2 linked regions of the Arabidopsis thaliana genome follow. The protein of the gene in region 2 interacts with the protein of the main gene of each other region in a pairwise test. Each region holds a gene or a part of one and is shown on either strand. Other genes may lie near its edges.

Region 1 (5,685 bases), on a different chromosome or scaffold from region 2:
ATCAAAACCAAAAGTCAGTTCACCCTAGGAACAAGTAAAAAGTAAAAGCATTTGTCTTCTTCTTATGATCATCTTACCCAATCATCCACGTTGTTAAGAAGGTAATAGAGAGACCTTCAGTGGATTTCTCACTGTAATTAGTCATAATCTGAGGTATCTCAGCAACACCCCAACTGATAACACTGATGATACCAAGAGACAATGACAATCCATCTCTAAAACTGCTGTGGAGAAACATCTTCTTCACAGCCAAAAACCTGTTAAACCCAAAAATCAAACAAGTCCCTTAATGAGCAAAGGTAACGTCTTTTTGATTGTGCAAACTAGAAAAAAGTGTTAGAAGACGAAAAGGAAAAACATTTACACTAGAATGACCACATTTGAAAGAGTAGAAAACGAATCCTAGAGAATTAAAAAAGATTTCTAATTCCGACAATAATTCAATATACTAGATTCACAAACAAAAAGACCCCACAAAGTGAATATTCCCCCAAAACCCAAATCACACCCTCAGGATTCAGATTCTTCCATTAAAAGCAACAAAATCGAAAACGTTACACAAAATCTGGTTTCGACATTCACATATCAACACCATTGTTAAAATAATCTATTCGCAGCCTGAAATATCCGGTTTCATAAAAAGCAAGAGAAATCGATTCCCTAATACATTAAGAGAAACGAATTCGTATTCGACTATTCGTTTACACATCAATGGAAGAGAAAGTTGTCACCTTTTATTATAAAAAAAAAACAGAAAAAAGTTGTCACCTTTTCCAGAAGAAAGAAACGAAACCCGTGAATGAATGAGTCGACGGGTTTATACTTGGAAGAATTATCCGGGAGATTTTAAAGGAGAGGCCTTTAAGCGTTAAAGAGGTAGCTCTGGTGACTGCTATTCGTTTGTCTCTTTGCTGTTTTATGGCGATTTATATATCATCATCATGTGTTCCTTCTGGAAAACACAAATCACCATCTGAACGAAATAAAGAGTTAAAAGAGTTTTCTACTCCAATATTCCTTCAAACTACAAATAAATATTTTATATCTTTTTTTCCGTGGTCTTATTTTTATTAGAGTTTTATTTCTTTAGCATTATTGTCGCTAAAGAGTAGTGGATTTGGTATCATCGATTTTAGTCCTATTCTGTTTGTTTTGAAATTGTTTTTCTTTATGTCACGTCGCCGGAAATTTGTTGGCCATAATTTAGTAGGATATATTGGGTGCATGTCTACCAAAATAATGAGATAAATAATAATTGATGGAATAATTAGAAATTAATTATATTTTATATCTTTTATTGGAAACTTTTCTCATTATTCTTTTTTTATTTATTTTATATTTCATTGTAAATGGTAAAATTTGTGAGGAATCTATTATTTTACCATATAATAATGAGATAAATGGATAATAATTGATGGAATAATTAGAAATAATTAATATTAGTATATCTTTTTGGGCTAAGCTAATGCAAGACTGGTCAATTGGAGATGAACCCAAAAGTCATGGTACATTCTATATGGGCCTCAAAAGTCCATGTGACATAATAATTCAAGGCCCAATAGGCGTCTTCTTGTTATATATTTTTTTTTGTTTCTCAATAAGACAAGAATTGTCTTCACGCTTCCGCGAATCGTTAAGCTTCACAATTTCAAGCGAAGAGGATCAAAAAATCAATTTTTTTGGAGAAGAACCAGAAATCACAAAACCCTAGAGGGCTCTCTTCAAATCAACCATTAAAACCGCCAATTCCGTTATGACAAAGAAGAGAAAGCTCGAATCTGAATCCAACGAAACGTCAGAGCCGACGGAGAAGCAGCAGCAGCAATGTGAAAAAGAGGATCCGGAAATCAGAAATGTTGATAATCAAAGAGACGACGACGAACAAGTAGTAGAGCAAGACACACTAAAGGAGATGCACGAAGAGGAAGCTAAAGGTGAAGATAACATAGAAGCGGAGACGTCGTCCGGATCTGGGAATCAAGGAAATGAGGATGATGACGAAGAAGAACCTATTGAGGATCTATTGGAACCGTTTTCAAAGGATCAACTTTTGATTCTTCTCAAGGAAGCTGCAGAGAGACATCGCGATGTAGCTAATCGAATCCGGATTGTGGCGGATGAAGATCTTGTTCATCGTAAGATCTTCGTTCACGGGCTTGGATGGGATACTAAAGCTGATTCACTTATCGACGCTTTTAAACAGTACGGAGAGATTGAAGATTGCAAATGTGTGGTTGATAAGGTATCTGGGCAATCTAAAGGTTATGGCTTTATCCTCTTTAAGTCAAGGTCTGGTGCTCGTAACGCTCTTAAGCAGCCTCAGAAGAAGATTGGAACTCGTATGACTGCGTGCCAGCTGGCGTCTATAGGACCTGTTCAGGGGAACCCTGTTGTGGCTCCTGCTCAGCATTTCAATCCTGAGAATGTTCAGAGGAAGATTTATGTCAGTAACGTTAGTGCAGACATTGATCCGCAGAAGTTGCTGGAGTTTTTCTCAAGGTTTGGGGAGATAGAAGAAGGTCCTTTGGGGCTTGATAAAGCTACTGGGAGACCTAAAGGTTTCGCTTTGTTTGTCTATAGATCCCTAGAAAGTGCCAAGAAGGCATTGGAGGAGCCACACAAGACTTTTGAAGGCCATGTCTTGCATTGCCACAAAGCAAATGATGGGCCAAAACAGGTTAAGCAACATCAACATAACCATAACTCTCACAATCAAAATTCCCGTTACCAAAGGAACGACAACAATGGTTATGGTGCCCCTGGAGGCCATGGACATTTCATAGCTGGTAATAACCAAGCTGTGCAGGCGTTTAATCCGGCCATTGGCCAGGCCCTCACAGCTTTGCTGGCATCTCAGGGTGCTGGGTTGGGTTTAAACCAAGCATTTGGGCAGGCTTTGTTGGGGACATTAGGGACAGCTAGCCCAGGAGCTGTAGGTGGAATGCCAAGTGGCTATGGTACTCAAGCAAATATCTCACCTGGGGTCTATCCTGGGTACGGTGCTCAAGCCGGGTACCAGGGCGGTTATCAGACTCAGCAACCTGGTCAGGGCGGTGCGGGAAGAGGGCAGCATGGTGCTGGGTATGGTGGTCCTTACATGGGTCGTTAGATTAGCCACTCAGGTAATTATTTTCAGCTTCTTTTCATCTATTTCATTGATGTTCTGTATCAGAAGACTTTTTTTGTAGTTCGCTTGGTTCCCTTGTGTATTTCAAGACATGGACTTGCTGTATTTTGACCTTTTCATGGTTACTCCATTATGTTAAACTTTTTGCGTTGCAAGATCATTTTGTTTTCAAAGTTCCTGTGACTTTGTTGTGTTTCTGAAGGGTGTTAGGTTTTGCATCAGTTTATAAAAGTCTTCTCTTAATTTCTTAATTCATTGTGCAGATATTCCAATACAGTACTTTTTAAAATTGGCCTGGTGAATCTTCTGAAGTTATTAAGGAGCTGATGCAAATGGAGTTGTTTAGTTTTTGGATGAAATGTTACTCTTTCGTGTCTTCAAAATACATGACTCTTCAAACCTTTCAAGAAGTTTTAGTTTTCCCCTACTTGTTTTCTCAACTCTTTTTATGATATCCCAAATACACTGTTCTGATTTAACAACTATCGTTTCTGTTTTAAACTTTTGGGAACGTTTTCATTTGTAAAACTTAAACAGTGTTCCTCATGGACACACAAACGCTTTCACTATGTTTGAATCCGTATTTTCCATTTTCTCTTAATCAGACTCGTTTTTATTGGTTCTCGCTATGTTTCGCGGTTTTGTGGAATTTTTCCATGCACGTAATTCCTCTTAAGATTTTGACCTTGTGAGAGTATGATCACACATCACTATGCATATGTACATAACGGCTTATCTTGATTACCACATATTATATCTGCTTAATCCTTATTCCTCTTGCAGGTAATTTAAGAGCAAGCTGAACGGTCAACACTTACGCCCAACAAAAATCTATGGGGTACCAAATATTTGAATGCCACCTATCTGCTTTTTCTTTTATATATACTGAAAAGTGAAAAGGGATGAATCTATGAATTGGTAGCTTTATAACTAAAGAACGAATTAAGCAAAAGTTGTTTTCTTGTTTAACTTAGCTAGGCATCTACCTGAATCCAAAAGAGCAACTTGTTTTGTTTTGTACTAATAAGTATCAACAAGTCTTGACCTGCACATGTCAAGTTTTTGACTTGATTTAGAGCAGCTTGTTTCTTGTGTGTCCTTGGAGTTCTCTACTGTTTCTATAGCTTTGAATGAGCTTTCCATTTGACCACATCTCAAAAAATTTGGTAATGTGCCTTAGAATAACACCGAGTTTGGTAACACAGCTGGAATTGGTGTTTTGCTGTGGCATCATGGGAGCTCTGAAATGTCTTCCCAGTTAAAGGTGAGTATAACTGTTTGCATTGTGAAGATTTGTATTAACTATAGAACATTGAATTGATGGTGTTAAGTTCTTACACAAGCGTGCTTCTCGGTTTGAACTGTTTCTTTTGTATGTTGAATCAGAGCTTAGTTTATAGGAACCAGAGTATCTACTTAGTCATTCTCTAATGCTAAGTGCTAAGGTTCTACCTAGTTGCCCTCTAGGCCCTTATGTTATTGATAACTTATGAAGCTATTTGAACACTTGATTCTTAGGAGACCTAAGTTGGTACAGCCAGATAGAGTGTATGTTCTTGTTCTCTATGTGACAGGATCAAGCTGCCACACATAGTTCAAGGGTATGCTCTGTGTGGGTTTGCTCAGATTGAGGACAAATCTATACAAGGAAGTAGAGTCTTTGACATTTTGATGTTGTATGATAAGAAGAAGAAAGGAGAGTAATAAAGAAAGAGAAAAGGGAAACAGAAACACGTGGGAGAACATCCCAAAGAGGAAGCACACGCGGATCTTCATGCAAAGCTCCCCGATTCTCCCATGTGGTCCCTTTCTCCCTTTGTCCCCCTCCTCTTTCTTCTTTTCTCATTTTACTCCTTTTTTTACCATTATACAACGAATCTTTTTTATCATAATTTTTTGGTTTTGGTTTATTTTCCAATAACACCTTCTTGGTTACTTCCCATTCTCACTTTTTCATATAAGAAACTCACTTTGGGAAACTTATGTTTGAGAATGACAAGTCTTTTTAGAGAAAGTGATGTAACAAATCTAAAGTGATTATATAATAACCTTGCACAATGTTTTTGATTTTTTGTAAGATTCGAATATTAGGTTTATTATTCGTAGGGAATAAACTTACTTTCAAAAGCGTTCATAAGTTAATACTTTCATATATGATCATAAGTACGGACACTATTGTTTTTTGTTTGTTTGTGTTTATTCTAAAAGAAAGTAGCTTTTAATTGAAATGTCCTCAGAGGCACAGTTTAAAGTTCGAGTGTAACAGTTTCTAAGGCAAAATAAGCTCTCTTTCTACTATTTCTCTTTCTCTTTCTACTATTTCTCTCCTGTGGAGAAACTCAGGAGATAGAGAGAGAGAGAGAGAAGAGAAGAGAGCATGTATGTTTGGTTTTATAATCTCTCTACTCATACCAAAGATTTGTCTCAGACCCACCACTTGGACAGAGAGAACCCAAGCTCCTTTCTCTCTTTTTCTCGATCTACTCCTTCTTAATCTCCTTTTTTGAAACTTGAAGCCACTTTCAACATCATCCTTAAACTTTTGTTCCCTTATTCAC
Region 2 (5,937 bases):
ATTTGGCAAATAGATTTCTTTCTAAAGTGGTTTTTTAAAGATATATCTTGTTTGTGATCAAAGTCATATCAGAAGTTCCAAGTCTACTACGCTGGGAGACAAAATTGAAGTCTTGGCCGTTGAAGTTTCTAAGCAACAGCTGTTATCACAACTAATTAGCAAGAAAGTGACCACAAAATTGAAGTTGACTCTTATTACCTAAAACAAGACACATACATAACAGAACCAGACGCCATGCTCTTGAGCAATTGTTTTTGTTTTTAACGAACATCTCACGCCTGTTGGGAGAATACAACACCCAATAAGGATTTAAAAGGGGGAGACTACTTACCTGAGAAATAAAAAGCCAATTGCTACCAAGAGAGGAGAAACAGAGTTATATCATTTCTTCATAAAAAGACAAAAAAGTATTTCATCATGGTTCATAAAACCCCAAATCTTATTGGTAAAGAAAAATAAATAATTTATAATCATTTTGTTGAAAGAAAAAAACCCAAAAAAAAAAAAGAAATAAGAAATCCAAAAGCTTCTTGTATTGATTGAACGGAAAATGTTGTTAGAGTACATAATAATAACCCTGTTTTACTTGGTAAGGAGACCATTTTATTGGTTTCAATGGTAGAAAAGAATACAAGAATCAGACTTAGCTTGTAACATATAACTGGTTAGAAATAAAGACTCAAGTAAGGTATATCATCCGTGGAATTGTTGACCTTCGAATCTTGGGTTACAAGCAAACGTAACAATCGTTGAAGCTATCGATGGAAGATAAAGACTTCCTCGAATCCATTCTCTAGCTTATTAGGTCTTCTCTACAATCCACAACAACTTGAGAAAGACGACTATGTATGAAGTACCTCGAAAGAAAGTGAAGGAATAATGAGAAATGAGAGAAAATTGGTAACTCAAGAGTGTGATAAACTGCTCATATTGTTTCTCTACTATGTGTGGGTTCCGTGGAGAAGGAGAAGAATATACGACATAGTTTTGATAAACCAATTTAAAAGTTTTAATGATTTTACTATTACAGTATTAGATGTTTTCGAAGCTAGAAGATTTTCTCTCTTTTTCTTTTTTTTTGGCAAGAATTTAGGTAACAAATATAACAACTCAAAAACAATATTTTTATATTTAAGTCTGATATAAAATAAATAAATGATAATAATTTTCAAATTATAAATTTAAAAATCTAATAAATTATAAATACAAAATGATAATTAAAAAGACGCTAAAAACTTCAATCCGCCTGGGTGGATGGGAAGAAGCAAATCTTTGAGTGAGTTTTTAATTCAAGAATAATTAAAATACTCCATTTGGTGATTTGGTGGACCGTTAGAAATTAAAAGCAAAATGCAAAAATATTCAAGTGGGATAACATAATTTAACTGACAATTTGTTCATGTTTCCACTAACTTTTCTGATGGAAAAAAACGCACTATTTGCAACTATAACGCACTAATCTCTTAAAAAAAAAGGTTAACCATAAACTCTAAACTCTTCCAAAAAAGCTTAAATACTCCTAACTAACCAAATTAATCTTTTAAACAAAAGTCAAAAAGTTACAAATTATATGAAAACTCACGTCAACCCCAGTTACAATATTGTCTCTGGAAAACTTCCTAAAACTAGTACATTAAATAAATATTTATAGAAAGAACCGTTCATTAGTTTTAAATTAGAATACTAATTAACATCACAGTAATGCCGTTCTTAACTTAATAATTTTTAAAACAGAACACACAGATTCTTAAGTACTTCCTCCTCCACTCGAATATCTTTTTATTCTCTCTCTCTCTCTCTCACATTTAACCCCAAAATCATGGATCGCCTTACCAAGAACAAAACCCTAATTCATCATCACTTGTCTGATTCTTCTCTATTGGTTTATCTTTTATGAACCTTCCTCCTTGGCCGGTCTCTCAATATCCCCGGTATGTAAATGTTTGACCTCTATCTTATCTCTTCTGTTCTGTTCTTTGTTTTGTCTTTGTTTGTCCATTTTTGGTTGTTACTGGTTCCACACGTGTTCTCCGCAGCTTTATTTTTAGTGCTCTCTTTTATTTTTAATGTAATTCGCAATTTTTTCTATTAATCGTAGAATTTCCCGGTTTTTGTGGATGTGTTTCAGTTCCGTTATTGCAATTTTTCCAGGATTTGCTGTTTGAATAAAAAATTCTGTTTTTTTTTTCTTTCTCTTTTCTGGGTTAAGATCTTTTTCTCATAGCAAAGGTAATTTCTGTGATTGTAGCATGATTCATTGTTTGTTTTAATAATTTCTCTGAATTCATGTATTGATTCCTTTGTTTCTGGGAGATTTTTGTAGTTTTAGAGTTGTTTTGGTGAGGTTTGATCATGGATGTGACCGAGCTTGAAGAGAATCTATTCGCGGCTAGCGATGCCAAGGTTCGGTTTTTAAATTGAAATGTTCGAATTCGGATTGTAATTGTTGGAATCTGATTAAATTTGCATCTCTGATTATTGCAAACAAATTTTCTATTAGAAATAGTAATTGGGTTATCTTAAAGGACATATTTTTTATTATCATTTGATTTCAATGTTGTTAGAGGGTTTCGTGTTTTTATGTTCTTGGTGTTTGATGATTTGATTGTCTTGTGCTTTTGCTACAGTTACATGGAGATATGTGCAAGGAACTATCTGGAGTTCTATGCAAGGTACTTTCAATCTTCCCGTCATTGGAAGGAGCAAGACCGCGTAGCAAATCAGGGATTCAAGCCTTATGCTCTTTACATATTGCACTTGAGAAGGCAAAAAATATTCTTCAGCACTGTTCTGAGTGTAGTAAACTTTACTTGGTCAGTTTTTTCTCTCTTTGGACAAGTTTTATGCTTTCTCGTTTCGTGTGTTTTGCTTCTTTAATGTTCTACATTTTCCAATGTGAACAGGCCATAACGGGGGATGCGGTTCTTTTAAAGTTTGAGAAAGCAAAAATTGCTCTCATTGATGGTCTTAAACGTGTAGAAGACATTGTTCCTAGCTCAATTGGGTCACAGGTAATTATTACTCAGTTCATTTCACATTGTGATGATTAAGATAAGTCCACTTGTTGATTGATAGTTATGATGTTTATAGTTGAGAAGTCTGTTTTTTTTTATGTATGATTTCTTCAGATTTTGGAAATTGTTGGTGAACTAGAGAACACCAGGTTCATGCTTGATCCATCGGAGAAGGAAGTCGGTGATCAGATTATTGCATTGCTTCAACAAGGGAAGAAATTTGACAACTGTAATGACAACACCGAGCTTGAAATTTTCCACCGTGCTGCTACTAGACTAAGTATCACTTCTTCTAGAGTGGCTCTGGCAGAACGAAGGGCTTTAAAGAAACTCATTGACAGGGCACGCGCCGAAGAAGACAAGCGTAAGGAATCAATTGTGGCTTATCTTCTGCATCTTATGAGAAAATGCTCCAAGCTATTCAGAAGTGAGATCTTGGATGAGAATGACTCTCCGGGTTCCTATCCATGTTCTCCTAATGAAGATCATGGGAGTGTTCATGGGTTTGGTCGTCAGCTATCAAGGTTTGGTTCTTTAAACGACAAGCCCATGAACAGCATAAATTCAGGACAGATGCCTGTTCCACCCGAAGAACTGAGATGTCCCATATCTTTGCAACTTATGTGTGATCCTGTCATTATTGCTTCAGGGCAGACTTATGAACGGGTCTGTATTGAGAAATGGTTCAGTGATGGGCATAATACTTGCCCAAAGACTCAACAACAGCTCCCACATATCTCTTTGACTCCCAATAACTGTGTTAAAGGTCTTATTGCGAGCTGGTGTGAACAGAATGGAACTCAAATTCCTAGTGGGCCGCCGGAATCTCAAGACCTCGACTACTGGAGACTAGCTCTCTCTGACTCCGAGTCCACCAAATCACAGTCAGTCAACAGTATAGGGTCGTATAAATTGAAGGGCGTAAAAATTGTTCCGTTGGAGGAGAATGGTACTACTGTTGTTGAACGACAAAACACAGAAGAAAGTTTTGTGTCTGATGATGATGATGAGGAGGATTCTGATATAAATGTACTTGAGAGGTATCAAGATTTATTGGCTGTCTTAAACGAAGAGGAGGGTTTGGAGAAAAAATGCAAGGTTGTAGAAAAAATCAGGCTATTGCTGAAGGATGATGAAGAGGCCAGGATCTTCATGGGAGCCAACGGGTTTGTTGAAGCCTTGTTGCGATTCTTAGGATCAGCTGTAGATGATAACAATGCTGCAGCTCAGGATAGTGGAGCTATGGCTCTGTTCAATTTAGCCGTCAACAACAACAGGTTAGTACCTCTTGTTGATGTTGGTAATACAATAATAGATTGTGACTTTCTCATTACTTTTTGTGTTCTCAAGGAACAAAGAGTTGATGTTAACTTCTGGGGTGATTCGGCTGCTGGAGAAAATGATTTCTTCTGCTGAGTCCCATGGTTCAGCAACCGCGCTTTATCTGAACCTTTCCTGTCTCGATGAAGCAAAGTCCGTGATAGGTTCAAGCCAAGCAGTACCTTTCCTTGTCCAACTTCTTCAGAAGGAAATCGAAACCCAATGCAAGCTCGATGCTCTTCACGCCCTCTACAACCTTTCCACATATTCCCCCAATATCCCTGCTCTCCTTTCATCTAACATCATCAAGAGCCTCCAAGGCCTTCTCGCATCAACAGGTGAAAATTTGTGGATAGAGAAGTCACTAGCCGTATTGCTAAATCTAGCTTCAAGCCAGGAGGGCAAAGATGAAGCGGTATCATCACAGGGCATGATCAGCAGTCTAGCAACAGTGCTAGACATGGGTGACACAACAGAGCAGGAGCAAGCTGTTTCATGCCTTTTGATTCTATGCAATGGAAGAGAGTCTTGTATCCAAATGGTGCTACAAGAAGGTGTGATACCATCATTAGTGTCAATCTCTGTAAACGGAACACCTCGAGGCAGAGAGAAGTCTCAGAAGCTTCTAATGCTGTTTAGGGAAGAAAGACAGCAACGGGACCAGCCATCTTCAAACAGAGATGAGCCACCCCAAAAGGAACCTGCCCGAAAATCTCTCTCAGCACCGCTGTCTGTCCATGGATCAACTCCTGCTTCAGCTTCAGTTCAAGACTATGAACCAAGAGTCCTGTCGAAATCAATGTCGAGAAGAAAGTCGATGGCAAGACCATTCAGCTTCTTCTGGAAGAAAAGCTACTCGGTTCGCGAGTGAGAAAGAAGAAAATATCACATGTACATACAAGTACAACCTTTTATATGTAAAGCTTTGTTTTTCTTTCTTACAAGTTACAAAAGTCATTTCATAGAGAAGAAGATATGTTGTACAGGTCTCATTGTGATTAGTACACTCGATTTTTGTTGTTCTTTTGGTTAGCCAAAAAAAGATGTATATCAATCAAGGTAAATACAAGTAAAACAAAACCCCAGTTTTAACATCGTATTCACTTATTGTCATTCTTCTGGTTTATTATGTTTCTATGATAAGTATCCAAAGTTTTAAAACAAATCTTAAACTTAGGTTACTTAGAATATGACATTTACAAAGTAATGAATACAAGAAGTACTTGAAAGAGACCAAAACATGTAAGCTATTGTGTCACCCCTCGGGTTCAAATCTCGAAAGAAATCAGGTCGAATAGGATTCAGAACGCGAGAAGGTGAGCGAATCCGCGCTTCTACTACTTCGTTTGATGGGATTCTGAATCCATCCGGTCTCAAAGAGTTCCAAGATCGGATCTCTGCGGCTACTGCTGCTTCGACCAGTGCTTCCACCGCCATCTTCTCCACTACTTCCTCTCTGTAATGCCTCCTTGTACGACACTTTCTTCTCCGTCCCCAAATTCCTCTTCTCTTCCTCCTCTTCTGAAACTGACCCTGATCTGCTAAAGCTCCTATCAACTGTGATCTCTTTCTCATTCGTCCCTTTGTTCTTATCTCTCCAACG

Evidence for each region. The genes of interacting proteins can lie anywhere in the genome.
Region 1: the proteins of AT1G67530 (region 2) and AT2G41060 interact in a two-hybrid assay, tested with the Arabidopsis thaliana proteins (one large-scale study listed by BioGRID).

The regions. Positions count from the first base shown.
Region 1 is NC_003071.7:17,125,385-17,131,069, forward strand, and holds AT2G41060 (RNA-binding (RRM/RBD/RNP motifs) family protein), read left to right. Parts: upstream 1-1,604; 5' UTR 1,605-1,753; coding exon 1,754-3,109; 3' UTR 3,110-3,122; intron 3,123-3,390; exon of another isoform or gene 3,391-3,910; 3' UTR 3,911-4,373; coding exon of another isoform or gene 4,374-4,391; 3' UTR 4,392-5,185; downstream 5,186-5,685. Other genes in the region: AT2G41050 (PQ-loop repeat family protein / transmembrane family protein), read right to left, coding at 78-238; EEL (Basic-leucine zipper (bZIP) transcription factor family protein), read left to right, coding at 4,374-4,391. UniProt on the Arabidopsis thaliana protein: Heterogeneous nuclear ribonucleoprotein (hnRNP)-like protein that acts as a component of a complex regulating the turnover of mRNAs in the nucleus. Binds with high affinity to RNA molecules that contain U-rich sequences in 3'-UTRs.
Region 2 is NC_003070.9:25,305,877-25,311,813, forward strand, and holds AT1G67530 (ARM repeat superfamily protein), read left to right. Parts: upstream 1-1,740; 5' UTR 1,741-1,931; intron 1,932-1,944; exon of another isoform or gene 1,945-2,229; intron 2,230-2,280; exon of another isoform or gene 2,281-2,323; 5' UTR 2,324-2,352; coding exon 2,353-2,403; intron 2,404-2,627; coding exon 2,628-2,813; intron 2,814-2,903; coding exon 2,904-3,011; intron 3,012-3,128; coding exon 3,129-4,291; coding exon of another isoform or gene 4,292-4,364; coding exon 4,365-5,205; 3' UTR 5,206-5,432; downstream 5,433-5,937. Other genes in the region: AT1G67520 (lectin protein kinase family protein), read right to left, coding at 199-271; AT1G67540 (uncharacterized protein), read right to left, coding at 5,620-5,937. UniProt on the Arabidopsis thaliana protein: Functions as an E3 ubiquitin ligase.